Linked DNA regions of Lonchura striata. The protein of the gene in region 2 interacts with the protein of the main gene of each other region in a pairwise test. Links are inferred from orthologs where the notes say so. Each region holds a gene or a part of one and is shown on either strand. Other genes may lie near its edges.

Region 1 (7,033 bases), on a different chromosome or scaffold from region 2:
CAGGATTTTCCCCGTCACCAGGGTCACAATCAAAGCCAGGGAGTTGCAGAGTGGCACTGCCAGGGTCAGGTCTGAAACGTGAATTCCGAATGGAGAAATTCAGTTTAATTCGGATTATTCCAAGGGAAGCACAAAACCCCCAAAGAAGCAGAGGAGCTGACCTGTGGAGGCCAAGGTGAGGTAGAAGAGGAGGGATCCGGCCTGGTTGAGGAGGAAGGGCAGCAGGCACTGCAGGACACGGAGGGGCACGGTCCCACCCTGGCACCCCGGGGGCGCAGGGGCGGCACTGCCGGGCCTGGCACGGGCCTGGCACGGGCCTGGCACGGGCCTGGCACGGGCCTGGGGTCCCGGGCACGAGGGGAACCCGCGGGGAGGGAAGGGAGAGGCCAGACTGCAGGAGCCTGAATGAGTTCTTTAGCTTAGTACATATAATTGTTATATTAATTATATAATATTTATTATATTTATTAAATTATATTTATGCTATTCTATTCTATTCTATTCTATTCTATTCTATTTATTATATAATATTATATATATTAATTCTATTATATTAGTTGTATTAATTATATTTTTTATATTATATATATTAATTCCATTATATTATAAATACATGAAAATATATTTATAATATTATTTCTATTACATTATATGTATAAATATATATTAGAAAATGAAATTATATATAACTGTATATAATATATAATATTATTGTTTATATGATATTATACTATATATAATATATACATATATAAAATTATATATAATAACAATATATATTATATTATATTATATTATATTATATTATATTATATTATATTATATTATATTATATTATATTATATTATATTATATTATATTATATTAGTATATTATATATAGTAATTGTATATAATATATAAGATTGTTTTTATATTATGTTATACTATATATAATATATAAACAAATATATATAATTATGTATAATAATATATTATGTTATATATAATATTATTATATGTTATAGTATAGTATATTCTAGTATAGTATATTTTATATATAATATAAAAATTTATATGAAATATGTAATTATATTCTATATAATAACTATAGGTACTATTACATACTATACTATTATATCTAATAACTATATTATAACTTTATTATGATACATTAATATACTATTTAAAGGAGATTTTAAAACTACAAACCTACTTTTTCTAGCTCCCACATCTAACTCCCAACTCGTGCCCCTCTCTGGAGTTCGAACACAGCTGGGTGGGCTTGGCCACCGGGCTCGAAGCATCCTCCCCAAAATCCACCCAAAGAATTCTCCAGGCGCGTTCCAGGTGGGAACGGCGAGGAGCAGAACCGGGAATTGATCCCTGTGCTCCTCCATGGAAACCCTGGGAGAAAGAACCGGCCTGGCACAGCGCCTGGCATGGGGGGGATTGAGCCCGAGGAGGAGGAGGGTGTGAGGAGGAGGAGGGTGTGGGGATGAGGATGAGGAGGGGGTGGGGCCAGGGAAGGGAAGGGAAGGGAAGGGAAGGGAAGGGAAGGGAAGGGAAGGGAAGGGAAGGGAAGGGAAGGGAAGGGAAGGGAAGGGAAGGGAAGGGAAGGGAAGGGAAGGGAAGGGAAGGGAAGGGAAGGGAAGGGAAGGAGCGGCTCTCACCCCGCGGCTCCGGCCGAGCAGCCGCAGCTCCTCCAGCAGCCCCCGCGGGCTCCGCTCCCGCCGCTCCTGCGCCCCCGCCCGCAGCCACGGGCCCGAGGTGCCCCAGAGCGCGGCCACCAGCGCCAGGGACACAGCCTGCCCTGGGGACAGGGACAGGGTCAGGGACAGGGACAGGGACTGGCCTGGGGGACAGGGACAGGGTCAGAGCCTGGCCTGGGGGACAATGGGGACAGGGTCAGGGACTGGCCTGGGGGACAATGGGGACAGGGTCAGAGCCTGGCCTGGGGGACAATGGGGACAGGGTCAGAGCCTGGCCTGGGGGACAGGGACAGGGTCAGGGACTGGCCTGGGGGACAATGGGGACAGGGACAGGGACAGAGACTGGCCTGGGGGACAGGGACAGGGTCAAGGACTGGCCTGGGGGACAGGGACAGTGTCAGAGCCTGGCCTGGGGGACAATGGGGACAGGGACAGGGACAGGGACAGGGACAGGGTCAGAGCCTGGCCTGGGGGACAGGGACAGGGTCAGAGCCTGGCCTGGGGGACAATGGGGACAGGGACAGGGACAGGGACAGGGACAGGGACAGGGACAGAGACTAGCCTGGGGGACAGGGACAGGGTCAGGGACTGGCCTGAGGACAATGGGGACAGGGACAGGGTCAGAGCCTGGCCTGGGGGGACAGCAGGAGCTGGAATTGGGCAATTATCCCCAATATTTAAATGGACCAAACTCCTAAAAATGTGAAAACTTGTGATGCACTGTCCACCTTGGGTCTAGCCAAGGCCAGGCTCTCATGCTGCCCAAGCTGTATCCTGCCAAGGCTTTGAATAAATCCCTGCTTTCCTCTTAGGGTTAGAAGGAAAATTAAGCTTTGTAGGCCCTGGGAAAATACCCTGGGAAAGTGTAGGCCTTGTGCTTGCTAGAACTGCATCTAGCTAGTACATGATAAATGATATAATTGTTAGATGTGATGATTGTTAAGTGATTAAATATAATTACTGTTTAATCGTAAGAATAATCATGATAAACTGCGGTCAGGGCCTTGAGAAAGACCACGAGAAACTCATGCTTGAATAAAGCCAATGTATACAATACAACGATATAAACTGAATAATGAATATACAAGTTATATAACGACAGAATACAAAACACGCTCAGATTCGGGTCTGCACCCCTGATTCCCAGAGATCTCCGATAAAAACACCTGTAGAAAAGCACATCCCGTGATTACGTGCGCTCCTGAACAGCTCACACAGCCACCTTTCCCCCCTTCCCCAAACAAACCCTCCCCGCCGCCATCGCCGCCACTCACCCACGGTCGCCATGGCAACGCCGCGGCACTTCCGGCTTCCTCCCGGAAGTCGCTCAGTTGCCGTGACGTATTTCCGCCATCTCCCCGGAAGTGCCGCTCCCCCTCACGCCTCAGCGCGGCAGCCATGGTGAGACCGGGGTGGCGGCGGGCTCGTTTCTCGCGATTTTTAGTCGCCACCGCTGATTTAACAACTCCCAGCCCCCGGTCCGCGGCTCCTGGGCGTGGGGGGGCGGCAAAGCCGCCCCCCCGCGTCCCAGGAGCCGCGGACCGGGGGCCGCGCTCGCTCCTTTCCTCCTCACCCCCATTTCCCTCGCGCCGCTCATTGATTATTCCATCATTAATTACAGAAACCCATCCTGCTGCAAGGCCATGAGCGCTCCATCACTCAGATCAAATACAACCGCGAGGGAGACCTGCTGTTCACCGTGGCCAAGGATCCCGTGAGTGCTCGGCGTCCCCGGTAATTATCGTTAATTTTAATAATTGATTTATTAATTTATTTTTTTTTTGCCGTCTCCTCGCAGATCGTCAATGTCTGGTATTCGGTGAATGGAGAGAGGTTGGGGACTTACAACGGGCACACGGGAGCTGTGTGGTGTGTGGATGCCGATTGTATCCTTTGATCCTCCCAAAAAAACCGGTTTAATTCCATATTTTAGTGGCTGAATCATTCCCGGCGATTCCTCCTCATTTTCCTCTCAAAGAGGAGCAGCTCACTCTTCTTCTGCCTCTTCTTTTCCCATCCTTTGGGTGTTTTTCCATTGGGAATAAATCACAGATTTGGAATAAATCATAGATTCCCATACGGAATAAATAATATGTTTCCATATGGAATAAAAAATAGGTTTCCATTTGGAAATAAATAATAGATTTCCATTGGGAATAAATGATAGATTTCCATTTGGAATAAATAATAGTTTTCCATTGGGAATAAAAAATAGATTTCTGTTTGGAATAAATAATATGTTTCCATATGGGATAAATAATATGTTTCCATATGGAATAAATACTTTGTTTTCATATGGAATAAATAATAGATTTCCATATGGAATAGGTAATAGGTTTCCATTGGGAATAAAAAATAGGTTTCAATTGGGAATAAAAAATAAATTTCCATATGGAATAAATTATATGTTTCCATATGGAATAAGTAATAGATTTCCATATGGAAAAAATAATAGATTTCTATTTGAAATAAATAATAGATTTCCTTTGGGAATAAAAAATAGATTTCCATTTGAAATAGATAATAGATTTCCATATGGAATAAATAATAAACATCCCAATGCATATTTGGATTTATTGTACCTTTTGCTGCTTCCCTGGATATTTGGGGAGATTTTCCCACGGGCAGCAGAGATAAAAGTGTGGAAAAATGTAAGAAACTGATTCTTTTCTTTTCAATTCATGGGAAAACCATGGGATTTTGCAGTGGGGACACTTGGGTTCTGTGCTGCCTTTCCTGGACTAGGTTTTCCCAAAAGAAACCCCCCAAAAAATCCAATTTTTGGGTGCAGAAACATCCAGCGAGTGGCCGGGCAGTGGAATTTGGGGTGATTTTCCCTCAGCGGTGGCCCAGGGGACACCAGGCACGTTCTGACGGGCTCTGCAGACAACAGCTGCCGCCTCTGGGACTGTGAGACAGGTGAGGCCACCCCAAAATCCCCCTGGGGACACCCCTGGGGGGCAGGACACGGGAATGGATCCCCTGGAGCTGGGGAGGTGTTGGAAGGAATTCTTCCCTCTCAGGGAATTCCCTGGGTTTGGCCTCAGCCCTGGAAGTGTCCCAGGCCACCTGGAGCCACCTGGGGTGGGTGGGAGGTGGCCCTGCCCAGGGCTGGGGGGGATTTTGGTGAATTCCAACTCAAAGCATTCCATGGGGAGCTGGGAATGGCTCCCTGAGGGATCTGCAGCTCCTCCTGCTGTCCCTGAGCTCTGCTGGGGCTGGGGTTGGCACAGCACGGGGATGTGGAGCTGAATCCATGCCTGAATTCCCACCCACAGCATCCCAGGGTCCTGTTCCATGTTGTTTTTAGTGAGGCAATCACTTCCCAGCTCCCTGAAAATTCCTCTTCCCTGTTAAAATGCGAGGCTGGAAGTGGCATAGAGCAGGGATGTGAAACTGAATCCATTCCTAAATTGCCTTCCCACCTAAAGCACTCCAGGATTCTATTCCATGATATTCCATAGTGTTTTTAATGAGGGAATAATTTCCCATCTCCTTGAAAATTCCTCTTCCTTTTCCCTTTTAAAATCTGAGCCTCCCCTGAGCAAGGCTGGGATTGACACAGCACAGAGATGTGGAACTGAATCCATCCCTAAATTCACTTCCAGAGCATTCCAGGATTCTATTCCAGGATCTCCCAGGATGTTTTGAATGAGGGAATAATTTCCAAGCTCCCTGAAAATTCCTCTTCCCCTCCTCTTAAAATCTAACTCTCCCATGAACGAGGCTGGGATTGACACAGCACAGAGATGTGGAACTGAATCCATCCCTAAATTCCCTTCCAAAGCCATCCAGGATTTATTCCATGTTCTCCCAAGGTGTTTTTAATGAGGGAATCACTTCCCATCTCCTTGAAAATTCCTCTTCCCTGTTAAAATCTGAGTTTCCCATGAGCAAGGCTGGAAGTGACACAGAGATGTGGACCTGAATCCATCCCTGAACTCCCACCCAGAGCATTCCAGGTCCCACTCCCTGCCCTCCCAGCTGGTTTGGAACGAGGGAATGAGTTCCCAAATCCTCCCTCCCATTCCCTTGTGCTCCCCCAGGGAAGCAGCTGGCCCTGGTGAAGACCAGCTCGGCCGTCAGGACGTGCGGCTTCGACTTTGGGGGGAACATCATCATGTTCTCCACGGACAAGCAGATGGGCTACCAGTGCTTCGTCAGCTTCTTCGACCTCCGGGACCCCAGCCAGATCGGTGAGGGGCCAGGGAATCCCCCTCAGTGATCCCACTCTGCTTTTTGGGGTTCAATCCCACCCCCTTCCCATGGGCAGGGGTTCCTTCCCCCGTCCCAAATTGCTCCAGCGCTTCCAGGGATGGAGCAGAGGAGATGCTTCACTAAAAAAATTCTCTTTGCTGCGTGGCTGGGAGTGGTTTGGGGGTGATCACGTCAGCAAAGGACACAATTCCTTCCCTATTTCCCTGTGGGATTCCTTTGGGAACAGCAGAATGCTGCCCCTGAGCTCCACAAATTAAAAGAACCAAGGAATCCAGGCTTGAAATGCTGGAAAAGCCCGAATCACCAAAAATCCCCCCCTTGAAATGCTGGAAAGGCACAAATCCCCAAAGAATCCATGCTTAAAATGCTGGAAAGGCACAAATCCCCAAGGAATCCCCCCTTGAAATGCTGGAAAAGCCCAAATCACCCAAGGAATCCATTCTTGAAATGCTGGAAAAGCCCAAATCCCCCCTTGAAATGCTGGAAAGGCACAAATCACCAAAGAATCCCTCCTTGAAATGCTGGAAAAGGCCAAATCACCAAAGAATCCATGCTTAAAATGCTGGAAAAGCCCAAATCCCCAAGGAATCCCCCCCTTGAAATGCTGGAAAGGCACAAATCCCCGAAGAATCCATGCTTAAAATGCTGGAAAGGCACAAATCCCCAAGGAATCCCCCCTTGAAATGATGGAAAAGCCCAAATCACCCAAGGAATCCATTCTTGAAATGCTGGAAAAGCCCAAATCCCCAAAAATCCCCCCTTGAAATGCTGGAAAGGCACAAATCACCAAGGAATCCCTCCTTGAAATGCTGGAAAAGCCCAAATCCCCAAGGAATCCCCCCTTGAAATGCTGGAAAAGCCCAAATCCCCAAAAATCCCCCCTTAAAATGCTGGAAAAGCCCAAATCCGAGCCGAGCAGGGGACCTAAGGGGACAAAGGGTGGGCGCAGCCCCTGAGGGTGGCTGTGGCTCCTCCCCACAGAGAACAACGAGCCCTACATGAAGATTCCCTGCAGCGACTCCAAAATCACCAGCGCCGTGTGGGGCCCGCTCGGGGAGTTCATCATTGCTGGCCACGAGAACGGGGAGCTCAACCAGTTCAGTGCCAAGGTCAGGGCCTGGGGCA
Region 2 (7,863 bases):
ACTACATTGATTCTGCTTGTAGAAAAACTGTGCCACTGTAATCACAAATCCTCTGCTATATTAATCATAACATGATAGGAAAATGAAGTTCTGATTGAAATGACAATTAAGGGCCATCATCATTCTGCCAAGGATCCCTTAAAAGAACATACGGGTCCCCTCAGTATTGGTGACACTCCTGTGTGACCATACCTGTTTTCTAGGCCATCCACATAGATCTTCCTCCGGCGACGACTATCCTGAGCTGCCTGCTTGTTCCGAATCTTACGACGCACTTTCCTCAGAACTCGCTCCTCAGCCTGCAAGGTTCACCTCATTAACAGCAATCCCAGGGTGTTGGCAATCCCACCCTCTCAGACTGCGCTCACATATCAATCCTCAGCCCTAGTGCTTGTGTCCTCTGTCCTTCGTACACCAGTGAATAAACTGCAAGGCAAACCCTGGCCTTGCTGGTGCAGCCAGCAGCTTCCGTGACTCAGCAAAAGTAAGGCGTACCTAAGGAAAATGAAAAGCACACAGACCACAAGCCACTAGGCAAGCAGGAAAAAATAGCTGCAGGCACTCGTGGTGTAATTGCCTCCTGCAAACAGCCACAAGTCTGGAGACTGACAGCAGCCAGAAGCTGCTGTGCACATGGACAATGCCCTGGACTCGAAAGAAGGAAAAGGACACTGAGCCCAGATGAACACTGCCTGGAATGCAGCATCTGGACAACATATTCTCATCAAGGCACTGTCCTGCAGTTTCAAACCCCTACGATACCTGATACATTAAGAGTGGTCTGCATGGTTCTAGTGAGGACTCACTTTGGTCAGTGGCAGACAGGTTGGTAATGTAACACCTTCTTTCTCCAGGAGCTGCTTCTCCTCCTCTGTCAGGACCAGCTCTGGGAAGTCAGACTAGAAAACAGCAAAAATAAGCCTACTGAGAATGCATACTACAGGGAGTCCATCCGCCAGCAAGGGCACATAGCAAACACACAGAACTGGAATCAGCTCTTCCAAAGTAATGTCATGCTTTCCCTCAGAGATACCCCTCACAGGAGCCAAGTCAGAAGAGAAGGAGAAATGTGAGAAGCAAAGGCTGGGGTCCACAGGCATGGGAGTCAGTACCTGTACAATGGCTCCAGGCACAAGCTGGGGTTCATCTTCCACAGCAACAGCAACGGGGGAACTGGTGCTCTGTTCCAGTGCCTCACTTGTACTTTCCAAACCTACCCATGCCCCTGGGGAAGGAAAGATGAGTCAAATGCTGGGCCTCACTGAGGCAGCACCTGACCAGCCAGCTTTGAGTGGCATGAAATAGCAATTTTATAACAGCAGAAAGCCTTTAATCTTGGCTCTCTCCATCTTTGCCTGACACCCCCAAAACAAACCAGTATGGGACTACTTTTCTCTTTTCTGCCTGCAGCCAGGGCACAAAGAGTCCGTAACATCACTCACCTAGCTCAATGGTAACATCTCCTTCTGCCATGTCAGACCTCACACTTTCCAGTGTAGGCCACTCTTGATGAAGGGAGTAGTTATGATCAACGTGCACAATGTCTCGGCTCGCAAAATTGCTATTGAGGCAATGGGACAGAAGCTGATCCTCAGAAATGCTGCTGTCATTGTTGGCAGGCAAGTAACTGAGCCTGTCTGGTTCATCTTCTAAAGGGCTCAGCAGTGAGCTGATGAAGTCATCCATCTCCTTGTCCAGGAGCTGCAGAGGAATAGCTTTTACTCAGCAGGGAGACAAACCTCCTAAACCTCAGCTCAGCAGCAATTCCTTACAAAGAACTCACCTCAGGCATTGGCAGGCCCCAGTCTTCCAGCAGACCATTCTGCTCCCCTGGGATTTCAGGGCAGGGAGCATCCTCCTTCAGAAGAAAGTCAAGCAGATCCACATCTGCCAGGGCATCCAGTTCCTCTGGGCATGACATCTGAGCAGGACACCCAAAGTGAGCACAGACACAACAGGAGACACCAGCCTTGCTTTAAGGTGTCCCTCAGACCCTATGAAGTATCCCCATGCAATGTCAACAGCAGGAATGGCCAGTTCACAAGTACTTCTCCAGCCAGGTAACATCTCCTTCTGCCATTATAGCACCAATGGTGACAATACAAGGTTATTTGGACCCAGCCACAGGAGCCATGCTCCACCCAGAGCATAAAAGCTGCAGAAAGGACAGGAAAAATGAAACAATCCCAGACTTAATGGTGTGGAGAGCAGGCAAGATTCTGCTGTTCCACAGAAACCTGAAGGTGCCATACCCCTTGGTATGCAGCGAGAGCTTCCTGTGCCAGGAAAATTAAGAACAGTCTTTGCTGAGGTTTTAACCAAAGGGATTCTGTTAATGATTAAATCATGATCAAATTCTAAGTAATCGATGACTGAGCAAAAATTAAATGGCAATCAAATGGTGATTAAGTGATCATTGAAAGGTAATTAATAAGTGATTTGACAGACCTATATGATGACTTAGCAATTCAGACAGCTGTCAAACACAGTACTGTTTAACACACTCGTAATAAGTAAGGGGATGAAACAAATAAATAGATGGATATATATAAAGGTCACTAGCACACAGTATACCTTTAGGCTGAAAGTAAAATGCTCCTTACCTTACTGTAGAGATCAGACACTGGTAAAGAATCTCTCTGCCCTGAGGAGTGACCTGGAGAGCTGTCCCTGCTGCCAGGGACGTCAGGGCCCAGCGGCGTGAGAGCAGCAGAGCTCAGCGGCTGGAGGCGGCCACAGGTACGGGGAGGGCAGTGAGGGACCTGCAGCCAAACACTGCCCTGGGGCTTGTGCACCTGCGTGGCTGTGGCAGCTTTAGCTTGGCCTGGTCCCAGCTCGGGCTGCTGCTGTTATGTCCTGACAAGGCATGGCCCAGGAGCCTCGGTCCCTGAGGAGATGCGGCCTCGCATGGCTCTCGGCGGGATCAGCCCGGCCGGCTTGTGGGCGATGCCTGAGCCAAGGCACCACTCAGGCTGTCAGAGCACAGGCATCCATGGCACCTCTCCATCAGCACTGCTAAGCTTTCACATCTAGCTGTCAAGTGTCACGGTCTGAAAAAAAAAAAAAAACCCAGAAAAAATAGAATACCACCAAAACCACCTGAAACCCCTCCCAAAACCAGAGGGCCAGCGCAGTCCCCAGCCAGGACTGCTGAGCCAGCTGACTAAGGGGAGAGCTGTCAGCAGAAAGTTCAGCAACAAGAGGAAGAGGAGCTGGGCAAATCCGGGCAATGTCAGGGCCCATGGCTTCCACAGACGGTTTCCCCCAGGGAGCGTGCGCCGGGCAGGCAGCACGGGCAGGACGGGAACAGGAGGAGCAGGTGCGGCAGAAAGGCGAGCGGAGCGCAGGGGCGGGCACATCCACCCGAGGAGAACCAAGCAGCCCGTCTCAGCCCCGGCTGCGGGCCGGACCCGGCTGCCCGGACCGCCGGGACCTCCGAGCAGCGGAGCCCCGACCCCCGGTCGAGCCCGCGCCCAGCCGCCCCTCACCTCCGCCTCGCCGCTGCCAACGCCCCGCGGTGACGCCACCCAGTGTCCCGGCGGGCCCCGCGCGCGCCGCCCCGGCTCCTCCCGCGCTGACGCACCGCTCGCCTATTGGCTAGGAGGAGGGGGGCGCGTGGCCGGCGGGAGCGCGCGCGGGCGGCGGGAGCGCGGGGCGGGGCGGGAAAAGAGGGGAGCGGAGGGAATGGGGGAGACGGGTTGAAGGGAGGGCGGTGGGTCCGGGGTCATGCCGAGCCCCGGGGGTGTCCCGGGGCGGGCGGGCGCCCGGGAGTGCGATGTGAGCAGCAGGTGGAGCACGGCCACGCTGCGCGGGCGCGGAACCGTGACCAGCCCCGGGGCGTCGGGCCGAGTCGTGCGGGTACAGAGCGCTGTCCGTGGGAGCGGATTGCCCGTGGCGCGGTGTCCGGATGGAGCGCAGCGCCGAGGCACCGTGCAGCGCGGCGCCGCGTTCTGGCGCATGCGCGTGGCGGGGTGGGGGGGGCGGGAAGCGGGCGGTGCCGGCCGCTCAGCTCCCCTCAGCGACGCGGGGCCGCCGCGCTGCTCCTGCCCGCGCAAAGGTACGGGGACGGAGGACACTCGGTGTCCCGGTAACCGGGGGCTGGGGGCTGCGGAGTGGGGTCCTGCGGACCGGTAGGGCCCTGAGTCTCGGGGGGCTGCCGGAAACGGATGTCCTGGGGACCCTGCCCTGCACCCCCCCGGTACGTGGCGGGGAGGTAGGGAGGAAGCAGCTTTCCGGTTACCGGGGTTTCCCTGCTCCAACCGGGGTTTGTCCGTGGGGCTGCGGTGACCCGAGGGCTTCCGGGGTTCGCTCAGACTTTGGGGCATGCCCAGATCGCCCCTGGCACCGGCGCCGCCGGAGCACCGACACCCGCCGGAGGCTCCGGGGTAACATGGGCTGGCGCGGCCACGTTATCCCCGGCCACGTTATCCCGGCCTTGTACTTGCCCTGCTTCAGCAGGCTCTGGCCTGGAGTCCACCGTGGCGAGGCCCGGGCCAGCATCCCCACCTCGGGGGTCTCTGGGGACCGAGCTGGACAAGCCTGGCCGTGGCCAACAGTCCGCGTAGGCCAGGCGCGGCTTTTCCCGGGGCATCCCGCCCACCCTGCCGGGGACGTGGGGAAAAGCGCGTGGCAAGGGTGTCCGTGTCCTGCTGCGTGGTTTTGGGTGGGGACACCAGGGCTTCCCGTGACCACACCGAAGCCAGGGACGTCACCCGAACAGTTCTCACTAGGACACACAGCTGGCTATAGGCCCCAGGATGGGGCGCTGGGGTGGTTCCCATGCAGGGTGGGACTGGCCCTAATCGGGGAAGGCTTGGGTCCCCACCATATCCCGGCTGAGACAACTAACCAAGCAGGGAGAAACGCTGCCCCATCTTCTGCCTGTTCCCTGCCGGATCCTGCCCGAGCCCCTGCAAGCTCCCCATCCCTTTGAATCTGCCGGCAGGATGTCTACATGCTTTTGCCGTGTCTTCATCGCTGCCTGTTAGACCCATATTTGGTAGCGATAATTGTTTACTCCCTTCTCTCTCTGTGCCTTGCTGCTGAGAAGGGAAGGGCGCATATTTTTGGGATCTTTAGTTTTGCAAAACCTGTGAGCTGCCTAATAAAAGCTCCAGACCACCTGCCTTTCCCTGGATCATAGGGTGAAACCGCCCAAGTGCTGAGTGAATCTGTGATGGTGCATGGGAAGTACCACCCAAGCATCAGTTTCCTTGCTGAATGGCAGTGGCAGGAATTTGATGCTCCCCAAAGTGACATATCCTATTAGATTTAGGGAAGGGGGAGTGGGAAGGCTGAGGAAAATGAAAAGAGGCCTGTGGGGTGCCCTTCTTTTCAGAACTGAGCTTTGCTGGCTGCTGACCAGCAAATGACCCAAAAATGCAGCCATGCTCTCTTCTTTCTTTCACCTTTCTGCCTGTCCAGCAGCACAGTGCTGGGCAAGTTGCTTGTTGTGGGAAGCATGGGTGCTTGGATCAGGGCACTTAGTGCTTTCCAGAGGTCATGACAGCATCCACTGCAACTCAACTCCTGCTCTTGGAGTCCTGTGCTAGAGGGCCAGCTTGCTAAGGATGCAGGAGAGGCTGCAGCTGGGGTCCCACCATGCCTGCCTTCATCATGGGCAGTCTAGAGGTGCCATGATTTGTGCTCCATTCCTTTGGAGGTCAAGCGATGCCCAGCAGGAGCAGACAGGATGTGAGATGTGTGTGAAACATTGGCAGACAATAGCTGGAGCTGCTTCAGCTCAGTGCATGTGAGCAGGCAGGCAGGCTGCGGCTGCGATCCTCCAGCCCAGCTGTTTGGCCCCTGCCCATTTCCCATGCAGAACAGGGCTGCTCTCCCTGAAGGAGTGAGAGGATGCGCCTGTCCTAGCCATGGCTAACAGCGGAGTGGTCATGGGGGTGCAGTGTCTGGCCTTGACAGCCACTCATGCTCCCCAGGAGCAAGCTCAGCCTCAGCTGGAAGAAACTGTCCTCCCATCTGACGTGGACATGCAGCTGGGAAAGAGGAACTGGGTTGAACGGTCTCAGCAGCGTGTGACACTAAACCAGCTGGGGCTGCTGGCTCAGTCTTCCCATTGGTGCAGGGCTGAGCTCTGCCTACCTCTGCCTGCTGTGGCTGTGTATACTGGTCCTGCACCGGAGAACACAGGAGAACCCAGCTAGAGCCTAGTCTGGCTTCTTACCAGCTTAATTTTTGGTGTTGATGGTGTGCAGATGTTTACATGCTGGCCAAGCCACTGTTGCAGACATTGCGTTTTGGTGGCCTGGTATCTTCCTAGCTGTGCCAGTGGCTGTACTGGCTGGGCTGTGCCTGTGGAAAGCCCCAGCACTGGGATGGTTTGCAGCTGATGAAGCTTCCTGCAGCCAGCTCCTAGTCCAGAGGTGGTCTGCAGTGGGGCCTTTCCCAGGTGAAATTTGGTATTACCATAAAAGAAGGAAAAACCAAACCCCATTCCAAAACCTCTTTCAAAGTATCCCTTAAGAGAGAACGTAATAAAAATGGCAGAACTGTTGCATCTGAAGATTTGCAGCTTGTTCTGGAAACTCATCACAAGTGTTCCAGCTGTCCACAGTTGAATTTTGCTTAATTTTTTTTGTCTTTTAAGACGCAAACCCTTCAAATGTAACTGTTACTTCAGCAGTGAAGTCATCCAACAGAAATACAGTAATTCCATCGTGTGACCAAAAACTCACTGTCAGTGGTCCCCAGCAATGACGCGGTTCTTTGGGACACACATGTCCTGTCTGCCCACAGCCCTGCCTGCACTGGCCCTGCTCTGAGGCAGAGCCTGGAGCCTCCACCGCTGTCTTGGTTTTGCTCACCTTGCGTGGGGTGAGATGGAGGAAGCCGCAGCAGCTCCTGGGGAAGTGGTGGGACCCCACCAAGGTTAACCCCTCCCCCTCAGCATTTTGGGATTGGCTCAGAAGCGTGCCTGTGGTTCAAAAAGGGTTGCGCACAACTTGCTATAAAATGCAGAAGTGTGTTAATCCGGCTGCTCCGGTGCCTTATCTGACTTTGCATAATGACAACATGATTGAGAATAGGTTTGACTGAGAATGGGTTTGCTTTCTCTGGAGATGAGCCAGCAAAAATTTGGTGCGTGTTCATCAAGATTTGGTTTGTTTGGATTTTTTTGTTTTTCTTCTTTCTAGGGGTCAGTTTGAGTTTCACTGTCCTTTTTACTCTGGTTTGCAGTGCCAGGCTCCCACGCTGTCTCATTTGTTACATCTAGTTCAGCTTTTCTCTCTCCGCAAGGTTCGTGGAGGGGAAACATCTGTAGGGGCTGAGCCCTTCATTGATGCCCTCACATCAGGCAGCAGATTTGCAAACCTTGTGTGATTAGTTGCCGCGCTTTGCTGACAAATCTCACCCCAATTTAAGGAGGTGTCCTTTTGCAGCAGAGGATGTTCCTGCTCTAGACAGTGCTGTCAGCAAAGTTCAGCTGCTAGAGCCTTAACTTTTTCCATAGAATATGGAAATTGAAGTGTCTCCCTTTTCTCTGAGGTTTTCCTTGATGTCATCAGCATCTTCCCTGCTGAGCTCGAATTTTTTTAAGTGTTTGAGAGTGGGAAGGCATAAGCAGTCATCTTCTTGTGGGGTCTTGGGAAGCACAGTGACCCCTGTGAAGGGTGTGCTAAGGGGTGCCTCTGGTGCAGTGCCTAGTTTTGGGTGGCTTTGTGAGGGCAAGAGGAGGGTGCAGAACTAGTGGCAGATGTCCTGGCTCCTCTCAGTTCCTCTCTACTGTCCGACATCCTGCACTCCTTCCTCCATGGTCTCTGACCTTGTCTTCTCAGTGGCATATTCTCCTTTTCCTGCAGAGGGATGGAAAGCAGCTTTATGCTTAACTTGAGAATATTTTTA

The links. The genes of interacting proteins can lie anywhere in the genome.
Region 1: the proteins of CREB3 (region 2) and TMEM234 interact in a two-hybrid assay, tested with the Homo sapiens proteins (2 studies listed by BioGRID and IntAct). The two-hybrid records come from large-scale screens. The link is inferred for Lonchura striata from reciprocal best matches to the Homo sapiens genes CREB3 and TMEM234.

What each region holds. Positions count from the first base shown.
Region 1 is NC_134628.1:1,021,066-1,028,098, forward strand, and holds the start of TMEM234 (transmembrane protein 234), read right to left. Parts: upstream 2,978-7,033; coding exon 2,965-2,977; intron 1,792-2,964; coding exon 1,652-1,791; intron 229-1,651; coding exon 162-228; intron 72-161; coding exon 1-71.
Region 2 is NC_134642.1:39,588,266-39,596,128, reverse strand, and holds the start of CREB3 (cyclic AMP-responsive element-binding protein 3), read right to left. Parts: upstream 3,015-7,863; 5' UTR 2,604-3,014; intron 1,922-2,603; coding exon 1,784-1,921; intron 1,702-1,783; coding exon 1,443-1,701; intron 1,226-1,442; coding exon 1,113-1,225; intron 900-1,112; coding exon 807-899; intron 300-806; coding exon 193-299; intron 1-192. UniProt on the Homo sapiens protein: Endoplasmic reticulum (ER)-bound sequence-specific transcription factor that directly binds DNA and activates transcription. Plays a role in the unfolded protein response (UPR), promoting cell survival versus ER stress-induced apoptotic cell death.